Rattus norvegicus: one gene and its partners. The protein of the gene in region 2 purifies or fractionates together with the protein of the main gene of each other region. This does not show direct contact. Links are inferred from orthologs where the notes say so. Each region holds a gene or a part of one and is shown on either strand. Other genes may lie near its edges.

Evidence for each region.
Region 1: the proteins of Golga7 (region 2) and Cldnd1 purify together in Homo sapiens (affinity purification with mass spectrometry; 3 studies listed by BioGRID and IntAct, counting the BioPlex papers as one, with this or other methods). This does not show direct contact. The link is inferred for Rattus norvegicus from reciprocal best matches to the Homo sapiens genes GOLGA7 and CLDND1.
Region 3: the proteins of Golga7 (region 2) and Zdhhc5 purify together in Homo sapiens (co-immunoprecipitation; 3 studies listed by BioGRID and IntAct, with this or other methods). This does not show direct contact. The link is inferred for Rattus norvegicus from reciprocal best matches to the Homo sapiens genes GOLGA7 and ZDHHC5.

The regions. Positions count from the first base shown.
Region 1 is NC_086029.1:55,355,635-55,360,034, reverse strand, and holds the start of Cldnd1 (claudin domain-containing protein 1), read left to right. Parts: upstream 1-1,554; intron 1,555-2,098; exon of another isoform or gene 2,099-2,134; intron 2,135-2,639; coding exon of another isoform or gene 2,640-2,690; intron 2,691-2,911; coding exon of another isoform or gene 2,912-2,929; coding exon 2,930-3,221; intron 3,222-4,400. UniProt on the Homo sapiens protein: Plays a role in negatively regulating the permeability of cells to small molecules.
Region 2 is NC_086034.1:75,468,629-75,472,800, reverse strand, and holds the start of Golga7 (golgin subfamily A member 7), read right to left. Parts: upstream 2,893-4,172; 5' UTR 2,676-2,892; coding exon 2,565-2,675; intron 1-2,564. UniProt on the Homo sapiens protein: May be involved in protein transport from Golgi to cell surface. The ZDHHC9-GOLGA7 complex is a palmitoyltransferase specific for HRAS and NRAS.
Region 3 is NC_086021.1:90,181,873-90,184,953, reverse strand, and holds part of Zdhhc5 (palmitoyltransferase ZDHHC5), read left to right. Parts: coding exon 1-54; intron 55-1,043; coding exon 1,044-1,135; intron 1,136-1,641; coding exon 1,642-1,774; intron 1,775-2,098; coding exon 2,099-2,222; intron 2,223-3,081. UniProt on the Homo sapiens protein: Palmitoyltransferase that catalyzes the addition of palmitate onto various protein substrates such as CTNND2, CD36, GSDMD, NLRP3, NOD1, NOD2, STAT3 and S1PR1 thus plays a role in various biological processes including cell adhesion, inflammation, fatty acid uptake, bacterial sensing or cardiac functions.

The DNA of each region.
Region 1 (4,400 bases), on a different chromosome or scaffold from region 2:
CTTTTCATCTGGGACAATCAGGAGTTTTATAAAGCTACTTATACTGATCTTACTCAAACACTATTCTATTGTAAATAATGCCTCAATGATTCCTTAACAATCCTCAGGTCCCTGCCTGACAGTTTTTACATCTTCTTATTTATAGATGCTATTTTAAAAAATCCATATATTGAAAACAAGTAATTGTCCAATGTCATAAAACTGGTGTTCACATTTGCCAAGTTAGCTCATCTCCATGGGCCTAAGTGTCTAGAAACTTAGGCTGTTTCTTTTTTTTTTCTTAAATTGTTCCCCTTTTCGAGCATTGGTTGCCCATGTTACTTCAGGAATCAGACGTGTCATGCAGGTCCGTGGATGAAGACATTTGCTGCAAAAATGTATTCACAAGTCTTACTGTGGAGTCACTGTTCTCCTGTGCACGACCATCAAGCTTTCAAGATGACACCTGAGGCCAATTGCTTTTTTCATTTGATGTTATAAAGAAAAATCTAGTCATGCCATGTGGATAGTGGGCTCTGTCAGAAGTCCATTTCCAGACAGAGTCTGTGATGGTGAGCTAGAATCATGAACCAAAAGGCAAATGATTTATAGCTAAAAACATCTTTGCCACTTGTTTAGAAATTCCTGTGAAGTATCTGAGGGTTTAGAATCATTCAATTACTTCCACGTCGCACAGCCGTCTGTTTCCAAGGCTGCCCACAACTTTTTCTGTTGGAAATAATGTTCTCTAAATTCCATTTCATATTACACTCACACTTTAAAGTCACATTTTTGACATCTAGTACCCTTTGGATTTACAAGTTTTAAATAAACCAACGGAAACATTTAAACTGGAAACTTTATTACAGTAGAGAGAGCAAATAACAGATTTCTTCAAACAAGAATAACGTAATTATATCCTATTAGGTTATAACGCTAATTTAGTTATATGCTGGGTTAGATCTTTAGTTACATTTAAACAAAACAGAAGTACACTTTGCTCAAATGGGAGGGAAGATATAGGGAAGTGGGAGTGGGGGTTGATATTTGAAGAGTAGAGTCAACTCTACTCTTAAATAAAGTTCATCGACTCAGTAGAACTAATATTTAGAGGTAGAGTATTATCGTAGGGAAAACACAAGACTCTAAGTTAGATCTGGGCTACATAAATCAAAGCCTTTGACTATAGATGCCAAAGATCCTCCCCCATCACTTTCTGGAGCTTGGTCCCTCCTTTTCTGAGGTTTAACAATCCCTCAGCTTAGACCTCTGCTTTGCTCACTGATCTCCAGAGTTCTTTCTTCGGAGAGAACTACATTCCCCACAATTCCCCGCGCGTCGTCGGGCATGCTCTCCTCTGGCTCTAGCAGCTTTTTCACCGGCGTTCCTACAAGTCCCACAAGGCCCCTCGGCTCAGGGCCGCTTTGGCCCGGCCTAGGGTGGAGGCGGAGGCGGAGGCGCGGGAGTTATGGAGGGGGCGGGCTCTGCAGGGAAGTGCGTCAGAGGAGGCGCGGGGAGAGTAGGTTGCTGTGGTCGGAGCTGGAGGGCGAAGCCGGTGGAGTGAGAGGATGGGCGGTGAGTGCGCGGGGTCGCGAGCCAGCACGGGTCGCGGCGTGGGGAGGGGGCTCCTCCGTGGCGTGGCCGGGCCGGGAGGCTGGAGCGGCTGGCGGGGCGGGGAGGGGCGGGGCTGCGGGCCAAGGGGCTGGGGCTGGCTGGGCTCGGGTACCCAGGGCACCCGCCCAGCCCTGCCGGCCTCAGCCTGCCGGTGCCAGGCCCTGCTGTGCGGCCCAGGGTGACTGCGCTAGGCGCAGCTTCCAGAACCCGGCCTTTAAGGTCATCCGAGAGCACCAGGATGGACGAGATTTTTAAGAATCAAAATGCACACCGCACTTACCTGAGTTATTGTTGATGACTGCAATCGCCCCGGTGTTTCCGGAGTCACTCCCCATTTTCCGAACTCTGCACCCAGTTTGTAAGCCTGTTTTCAGGTGCATTGCGAGGGGTTTGTGCTGTCACAGTGTACACACACTTGGTAGGGTTTGACTCAGCGTGATCCACCTTGAGTCATTTTAACCGCGGCCATTTACTACTGCCGTGGAGCCCTGTCCACGCCTAGGGAGTGTTCAGATTTTGCCTAACTCACTTCTGTTTGAGAGTAGGGATTATTTCGTTTTTATGGACCTGTGCTATACTTTTAGGATTTAGGGAGCAGTATTGCGGTTTGGGAGGTCGAGAAGTGTGTAATGGATGGAGGGTGGGGGGAGAGTAAGGAGTGAAGAATCTGGTTATGTCAAGAAGCTTGGCTTAGCTTTGATCGAGGGAGATTGATAACCTAACATGGTGCTTTTGCTCTCTTTGCTGTGACAGACACATAAACTTTCCCCTTTGGGTTAACACCTTCAACTCTGACTTCCAAATAACTCCTTACTTTTGGCCTTATTTATTTATTTAGGTAAACCTTTCCACTAAAAAGCTTGGGGGATCCCTAGTCTCCCTTTCTTCTGTCTTTTCCTCGTCCAAGCCGGAAACACATAACCTTTTTCTGGCTTTCGTAAAAATTCAATCTACAGTTCAGGTGCGCACGCTGCACTGCCGACCCCGGGCGTGTGTGTTGTTTGTATCTGTAACGTGTATGTCCATTTCAGTGTTGTCTGTTTTAGTATGCAGGTGATAGACTAGAGAACAAGACTTCTGTCTCCGTAGCATCGTGGGTATGTGAGCATTCAATAAGTACTTTCCCTGAGAATGAGTTTTGTTTTAAACTTAACATTTGCCCTTTTGTTTGTAAATTTTCACATCGATAAATGCCTTGCATTGAGAAGAGAAGGGATGGGGAGTAGGGTAAAGGGGGCTCATTTTTATTATTATTTTTGTTTTTAATACATTCTAATTTGCTCGGGAGGTCTAACTCTTCCCTCTCCCTCTTGAACAGAGCAGTCTGAATGCCAGAATGGATAACCGTTTCGCTACAGCCTTTGTGATTGCCTGTGTGCTTAGTCTTATCTCCACCATCTACATGGCCGCCTCCATAGGCACAGACTTCTGGTATGAGTATCAAAGTCCTGCTCAAGAGAATTCTAGTGATGCGAATAGAATTGCCTGGGAAGATTTCATGGGCGATGAGGCGGATGAGAAGACCTACAACGATGCTCTGTTCCGGTACAACGGCAACTTGGGATTGTGGAGACGCTGTATCACCATTCCCAAAAACACTCACTGGTATGCTCCGCCGGAAAGGACAGGTATTCATGTCTCCTACCTGATAACGATTGTCCAGGGACGGGTAAGCACGTCTGTGCACCGCTTCCTTCCCTTAAGAACATCCTCTGTATCTATTTTCTTCCATCATTTTCTTTCCTCAACTTCTGTGCATTCCCGTTGTCCTCCATGATATCACAATACCTCATATCATTGTATCATGATGGCCATTTGAATCCTCATGCTTTCATTAAATTGTTTTTTTCTTTTTTATTCATGCCACATGTTGTGAGGAATTAGTTTGAAGAGTTTAAATATCTGGTAATTTGTGGCATTTACGATCAAGTTAAAGTGTGAGTGTATTATCCTCTTACAAGTAGCTATGTTAGCCAGGCAGCAGTGGCATAAGCCTTTAAGCTCAGCAGTTCGAAGGCAGAGGCAGGCAGATCTCTCTGAGTCGAGGCCAGCCTGGTCTATAGAGCAAGATCCAGGATAGCCAGGGCTACACAGAGAAGCCCTGTCTCTCTGATACAGCAAACAAAACCAAAAACAATTAACCTAGGTAACGGTAGGTTTCCATCATTTGCCTTGTATTTTAGAGAATGTAATTTGACCAACTCTGCCTTTAAGTCTGTACATATCTGAGATTTGCACAACTATAAAGGGTTAATAACCTAAAAAAATTACAAAAAAAATTTCTAAGTTGTTTCTCAGATTTATTTTTCAAAAACTATTAACATAAAGATTTTAACTTTCCAGGTATTAAATTGGGAAGCTTACAGTTTATTTTTGTTTATATTTACTTCTTTTGGCCTCTTACTGAGTAAGCATTATATTCAGATCATAGCAGAACACACTTAAGTCACCATCTGTTGAAAGGTATACCACGTATGACAAATAGTTTACCGTGCAAAGAAAAGGAGCACAGCTACCAGTGTATTGTAAAATCTCCAGTTCTACTTAGAGGTCACAGAGGCACACTGGGAAGGCTGCAGTGGGACACATCCTGCAGCGTGTTACGTTTTGAACACCTAGTGACACTGAGCGCAGGTGAGCCGACCTTGTCACCCTGGCTGATGTCCACACACAGGCAGAATGCAAGGCTGTCATCTGGGATTGCTTACGAGGTGGCTGTGACTCAGATGTGAGATCACTGGAATCAGACCAGCATAGCAGCGGGATTTTGAGTATAATTTGAAGGAATAGCTGTTAGCATTTTCTGT
Region 2 (4,172 bases):
GAGTTTTTAACATCTGCTATGTCTAAGCACAGTAAGACAGTCATCAGCTTTCCAAAGGTCTTTAGATAGAAGTCTTGTTGTTGAAATGCACACTGCTGAAGCCCACAGTGATCGCAAGTGCAACGCCAAGTCAAAGGTTACTTCTGCTGACCAGATAAGTAGAATGTGTGTCTACTGCCGTCCATTTGTAGTTTCTCTTCTCAGAAGACCACCAAGGGTGACTACAACACTTACATGTTGGCTAAAAGGACAACACAGGTTCACCTGAAGAACTACTGAGGCAGCTGGGCTCTCAGGCATCGAAGCATCACACTGTAACAGGCAGGGGAGTGACTGCTCAGCTGACAGAATTCGGGGCTCTCAAACAGCTCGCAAGGATTTTTAAGTATAATGTAACATGAGACACTTGTGCATTAGTTCCTTTCTCTAGCACACTGGCGAGTGTGATATTCCCTCAGAATGAAAGCCAGGCCTACCAGCAGGCCAGCACAATCACCAGTCTTTCTAGGTTAGCAGAGAAATAAAGAGGCCTTTCAACTTCATCACACAAAATCAAGGAAACTTAAATGTATAATCAACACACACACACATAAAGCTTTTCCAAGTGGTTTACAGCAAGTGTTTAACTCGACACTAAAATAGTCAAAGGCACATGCCACACAGTGGTCAGTACCACAAGCAATTCTGCGGTTTATCAAGTCAATGAAGTACCACTTTTGGATGGCAGAATTTAGCAACATCAATTTCCTGTAAAGGTCTGTGTGACTACATCTGGTTTTCTTAAGCTAAGATTATTAAGGAAAGGTTCTACCACACAGGATGAAAGGCTAATGCCTGATGTCGCATATATGTGTACTGGCTCAACAAAGAACTCTGACTTATAAACCATTAGAGGCCTTTAAATGACGAGTCACAAACAAGGCAACCAAAACCTGCTATCCTCTCCCTCCTCACTCTCCCTGAGGCAAGAGGGCATCGGATCCCATTACAGACGGTTGTGAGCTACCATGTGGTTGCTGGGACTTGAACTCAGGACCTCTGGGAGAGCAGCCAGTGCTCCTAACCCCTGAGTCATCTCTGCAGCCCCAGAGACAACGGTCTTGCTATGCAGTTCACACTGGCTTACAACTCAGAATCCTCCTCCCTCTGGCCCTCGGGTTCCAGATTACAAGTGTCCACAACCACACACTATTTACACAGTATCTTTTCAAAGCTTCTTGGATCTTTAATTGGCAGTTCGAGAAAGGCAACTGTGCCATTAACTTGCCTATGGCATAAATCAAACTTAAGGGCAAGGTAATGAATCAGTGATTTTTCAGCCCTAACAGTCAGTGCTGGGAATGGAAGCGGTGGACAAGTGGTCTACCACTGAAATAAGGTTCAGGATTCCCACCCTTCCCAAGCCACTTTAGAGCATGGCATTTTCAAGTTGCCTAGGTTGGCCTTGAACATTCAATCTTCCTGCCTTCGACTCCCTAGTAGCTGGGAGTAGTCCTGACTAAATATTTAATGCTGGGGATAGATCCCTGGGCCTTCAACCTGGAAAGAACAGGCTCTTTGCGTTAAGCTACACACCCAGCCTACGAACCACCAATCTGATTTTAAATGGCTGGTACACATTTCTCTGGTACACACTCATCTCCACCCACCTACTCCACAACCAGCATTTCTTAGCCCCACACCCACACCACGCTTAATTACCTCAAAGTTCCTCATCCTCCTGGCTCAGTTTCTAGAAACTGACTTATGAACAGCAAACAGAATCTGACTAATACGGCCAAAGAACAAAAGAATCACACGGGCTAGGCACAAGAACGCACAAGAACACACAAGAACACACAAGAACACACGCACACAGGTAGATTTCTGGTGTTGTTAAATCCGAAGGAATGGTAAACAAATCCCGTCTTTGTTTACAAGGTTGTCCAAAGGACCTGTGCCCGTGACCGTTTTGATATGCAAGGCAAACAGGAAGCTCTCACTGATTATGACTGAGTGCAGGGTTGGTTCAGCTACAACCTGTCCCAGCCAATGTACGTTTTTCAGGTTCCAAGAAGGCCTGTCTGGACTACCAAGCACGTCACTAATAAACCCTTTCAGCTGAACATCATGATCAGCACAGTGACCACAAATATCAGTCATGAGAACGATGACGCTGTCTTTTGAGGATATAGACTACCACAGGAGGTTATGAGGCAGCCCGGAGTTCCAGGAATTAGCACCTCATCAAGATGTCAATAACTGAGTATGTGTGTGCACCTCAATAAGGTGTCAATAACCGTGTCTGTATGTTTGAGTGTGTGTACGTTTATGTGTCGGTGTCCTGTTAAGGACACTCTTGGGTGGACTGAGGGGTAGCGTGCATCCCAAAGTTCTATAAGACCACTGCACTCTGAGCATTACTAGCCTTAGCAGTCTTTCTCTAAATACTAGACCGTAACTTCTTCGTAGACCTTCTGCTATGGATCTGAAGGCCTCCTGATCTCCAGAACTGTGGGACACTCCCTCCCGCTCCAGGGACTCTACACTCCCCAGGGGCGGGGGCAGGGATCCAGGCTGCGTACCCTGTTCTCCAGCTCCGCGGGGAACTTGGTCTGGAACTGGCAGCGGGTGCCACTGCTGTAGTCTCGCTGAATGAAGACCTTCCCGGACACCGGCGCCTGCTGCGGCCTCATGGCGAGGACAGGACCCGCCGCTCTGCGAGTTCGGGCAAGACACAGGTCAGATTGCCGGCCTAGAGCCGGCTCTCGGGCCCGCCTGCCCTTCGGAGCCACCCACCGCCCAAAGATGCCCAAGACCTCCCCCTCGCCGATCCCCTTCACTCATGGCTGTAGCTGAGAGCCTCCAGCTACCCAAGCCCAGGACCCGCGCCCCCCGACATCCTGGTTCGGCCCTGTTAACACAAACCCGCCTCCTCAGCCCTCCAGCAGCTGTCGCACCACGTTCGTCGTCACTTACGTCCTGTCGCAAAAAGCCTTGCCTCTCCTAAACTCATTCTGCGCCACTCATTTATACCCCGCCCCCTCCGGCCGTAAAGGATACCTCCGAGGCTGCGCGCTGCGGAGAGGTGCGCGGTAGCTGGGACAGAAGTCTTCCTAGTGTAGGCGGGTGAAGCCCTTCCGGGCGGAAGAAGAATAAGAGGTGGATATGGATATGATCGGTGTATCGGGAGTTCCTGGAAAGACTCCGGGGTTAGAGACTCGTATTCTGTTAGCTGTGGGGAAGTGGTTTCTGATCATAGGAGTGTTTCCTTTCTTGACTATGCGTTCAAGTTTTCCTGTGGGCTACAGCACCTCCCTCCACAAAAACAATCGCCACTCTCCAAATCCCTTAAACCCAGACTGTTCACCTATATTTACAACTACAAAGCGCGCTACCGGGGGTGCGTCTGGACCCTGGTACCCTCTTGTGCGGGAGGGAGGTGAATAATATTCTTGTTCTGAGCCGTTGGCTTTTTTCATCCCAGAGACGTATGTACATCAGCTATACCTGCGTAGGTGACCAGACTGTATCTACAGTTCTCTCATTGGTTCCCTACTTTACTGACCCTGTCTTTGCAAGACATCCAGAAAATCCCTATCCACGCCTGGTGGTGATGTTCTAATACAACTTTTTAATATCACGGATACTTGATCAATTATCACTGACAATTGATTTCTCGGGGTTTTAAAAATAGCATTTAAAAATCCCAGCATCGGGGTTGGGTAGAGGCTGGCCCACTCCCTGGTGATCTCTGAGTTCAAGGCCACCCCAGTTTACTTAAATAGTTCCAGGCCAGCCGGGTTGACATAGTGAGACCCTGTCTCAAAAGTGGATAACTTTGTCCCAGAAAAGGGTGTATCGTAAACCCAGTCACTTAATGTGGACACAGTTTGCTAACAGTTTGCCCTTAAACCATCAGTGCAATCAAGATAATTATCACTGCCTCTAAAACCTTCCTTATTCTTTACAGTCATCCTTTTTAGTCATTCAGCAGACCTCTTTGCCCAGCACTAACCTTTCTGTCACTGGAAATAAATTTGCATTTTCCTTAAATTGAATCAGAGTTTTTGGTCTCGTTCTTATTATATAGATTATTTTGAGATTCCTCTGTTGTGCCATTTGTAATTTCATTTGTTTGACATTCCCCATTTATTCATTCACTTACTGTCTCAGGGTTTCCATTGTTGTGA
Region 3 (3,081 bases), on a different chromosome or scaffold from region 2:
CTCACAGGATTTCATGTGGTGCTGGTGGCCAGGGGACGCACAACCAATGAACAGGTACCAGGAGAACTGGCAGGAGACTAAACATGACATGTCTTAGGTCCTTACTTAATAACATTAATACTTTCCCAAACAGAATGCTAGCGAATACTTAGTGTGATGGTGTAGAGATTAACAGTAGTGGGGAAAGTGAAGGAGGCCTAGGTCCTCAATAAGTAGAATTAAAGCTTGGAATGGTAGTGCAGACCTAGAATCTTACTTAGGAGGCTGAGGCAATAGGATCGATCTACCTGGACCCTGTCTTCAAGAAAGGAAGACAGTAACCTTAAAAAATGGTCTTGTTCTAATTCTCTTAACAAATATTTAGTCTGTGAATTTATAGAAACGAGTTGGGACAGATTTTAGGAAATACATAGTACTGCTTAAAGATTATTTTTGTGCACATAATAGTAGCTAACCATAATTGCTTAGTCTTATCTTGCAGTCAGCCTATCTGTGGATTCTTTAGGTTCAATCAAATAGAGATGGTATAGACTTGGAGGGAAAATCACTGAATATATACATCCTTTTTCTTAGCATTGTTATGTAAATAATACAATAATTCTTTATATAACATACTGTATTAGGTATCGATGATGGAGAGATGAGTTAGTGTACATAGGCTATTTGCAGTTACTGTACCCATTATATAAGGGAACTCATCTGTGGATTTTTGGATTATTTTAAGTCAATATTCAGAAAAGTACTTAGTTGGGGTTGGGGATTTGGCTCAGTGGTAGAGCGCTTACCTAGGAAGCGCAAGGTCCTGGGTTCAAGGTCCTGGGTTCGGTCCCCAGCCCCCCCCCCGGGGGGGGGAGGTACTTAGTTAACCCCATTTTATACAGAAAACTGATATGAGGATTGGCTTCCATGAGGTAGACTTAGAACCCTCATTCTAGAATCTGTTCTTAATCATCACCAGCATCAATTTTTTACCTGAAAGAATGGCTACACAATAATTTGCCTTTTGGCATAGTCTGACCTACCTGGTTCTTTCTGCCTCCTAGGTTACAGGAAAATTCCGGGGAGGTGTGAATCCCTTTACCAATGGCTGTTGTAACAATGTTAGCCGTGTCCTCTGCAGTTCTCCAGCACCCAGGTACACCTACATACACCCTTGGACTAGTGTTCATTCTTGGTCAAACTTTTGTCTCCTTTGGGCTTGTTCTGAATAAGGGAATTTTAATGGAAAATGGCCTTTTAGGGTGGGTTTGCTTTCAGAATGGTGAGCGCTACAAGGAAGAGGCATGCTGATCTTTTAGTGAATTCTTGAGTTCAGTTGATAGTGTTTAGGTATGGCTAATTGCATTTGAGAACTGAGGATGTATACAATTTACCTGCAGAGTGCTAGATACCTGCCTGTAAAGGCCTACTCAAGCTGAAGGTTTTCATTGAATTAAATCAGGCTAGGACTAACTTTTACTCTGATAGACTCTGATAGGACTGGTTTTTGGCTGAAGATTAAACTGGGGTCTTGTTCTTTATCACTGAGCCATATACCTCAGCTCATGACTTATTGTGTATGCACCGTGCTTCCTAGATGGTGTGCAAGTAGAAATTTTGAATGAAGTAGTAAGTGAAAGCCTTCTCACTTTTGCTACCCAGGTATTTGGGGAGACCAAAGAAAGAGAAGACAATTGTAATCAGACCCCCTTTCCTTCGACCAGAAGTGTCAGATGGGCAGATAACTGTGAAGATCATGGATAATGGCATCCAGGGAGAACTGAGGAGGACTAAGGTGAGAAATTAGGAAAGTAAAGCTAGGGAAACCCAGGGAATTTCACGCTCTGGCAAAGAGATAGGAACCTGCACTGAGTGTACATCTTGGTGTTAAAGTCACTTAAACACAGATATTTTCTTCATTACATTTCAAGTTCCATGACAGTAGACACTGAGCCACTTTCCATGTCTTCATAAGATGTAACATCTTTCAGATGACAGACGCTCAGCTTTTTTTTGTCCTTTATTATCCCCAAACTGACTCTTGTCCCAGTATTTACACTATGCCGACTTAATATTACCTTAATGTAGTTTCCCTCTCTGATTTCCCTCCATTTATTAGTCTAAGGGAAGCCTAGAGATAACAGAGAGCCAGTCTGCGGATGCGGAACCTCCACCTCCTCCTAAGCCAGACCTGAGCCGATACACAGGGCTTCGAACACACCTCAGCCTGGCTACTAATGAGGGTAAGGAAATGAGCAAGGGCTGGGAGGTAATAGTTGACTTATGGCTGAGAACACCCAGTGGATGATACTTGAGCAGTTTTCTTTGAATAGCTAGAAAAGGGGGATGCCAGTTAGCAAGAGATAGTGATTGGGACTTCACAGAGAATTACTTTTTACAATCTTATGTTGTATATGTGGGTGGTGCTGAGTGGGTAGATCAAAGGACAACTCCAGGAATCGGTTCTTTCCTTCCACTGTGGATTCTGGGAATTGAACTTGGGTCTGTAGGCTTTTATGGCTTGTTGCTTTTTTATCTTTTGAGAGTCTGCCTGAATCAGAGTTTCTCTTAGTATGTTTGATGCATTTGCCCACCACAGATTATGAAACTAGTATAGATGTTTGCTCTTTAAACAAGCAAACAAACGCAAGCCTTTAGTGGGTGGGTCACCAGGGGGCAGAGACAGATGGACTTCTTAGTTCAAGGCCAGCCTGGTCTACAAGGTTTCAGGACAGAGAGGGCCACACAGAGAAACTCTCTCTGGAAAAACAAAATGAAACAAAGAAACAAGGACTATGTAGACCAGGTTGTTATTGAACTCAGAGGACTTTGCTTGCTTCTGCCTTCTGAGTGCTGGGATTAAAGATGTGTTCTATCTACCACCACTGACCTTATCATTGTTTTTTAATTTTTATTGTATGTTATGTATATGGATGTTTGGCTTGCATGTGTATATCTGCTCAGCATTTATCCTCCTGCTTCAGCCTTCTGAGTAGCAGAGACTGTAGGCTTGTGTCTAAGCACCAGGCCCAGCAGAGTCTTCAGGCACTGTAGCAAAATCTTGTTCCCTAGGCTTTGCTTTTATTAGGTATACATGATTCT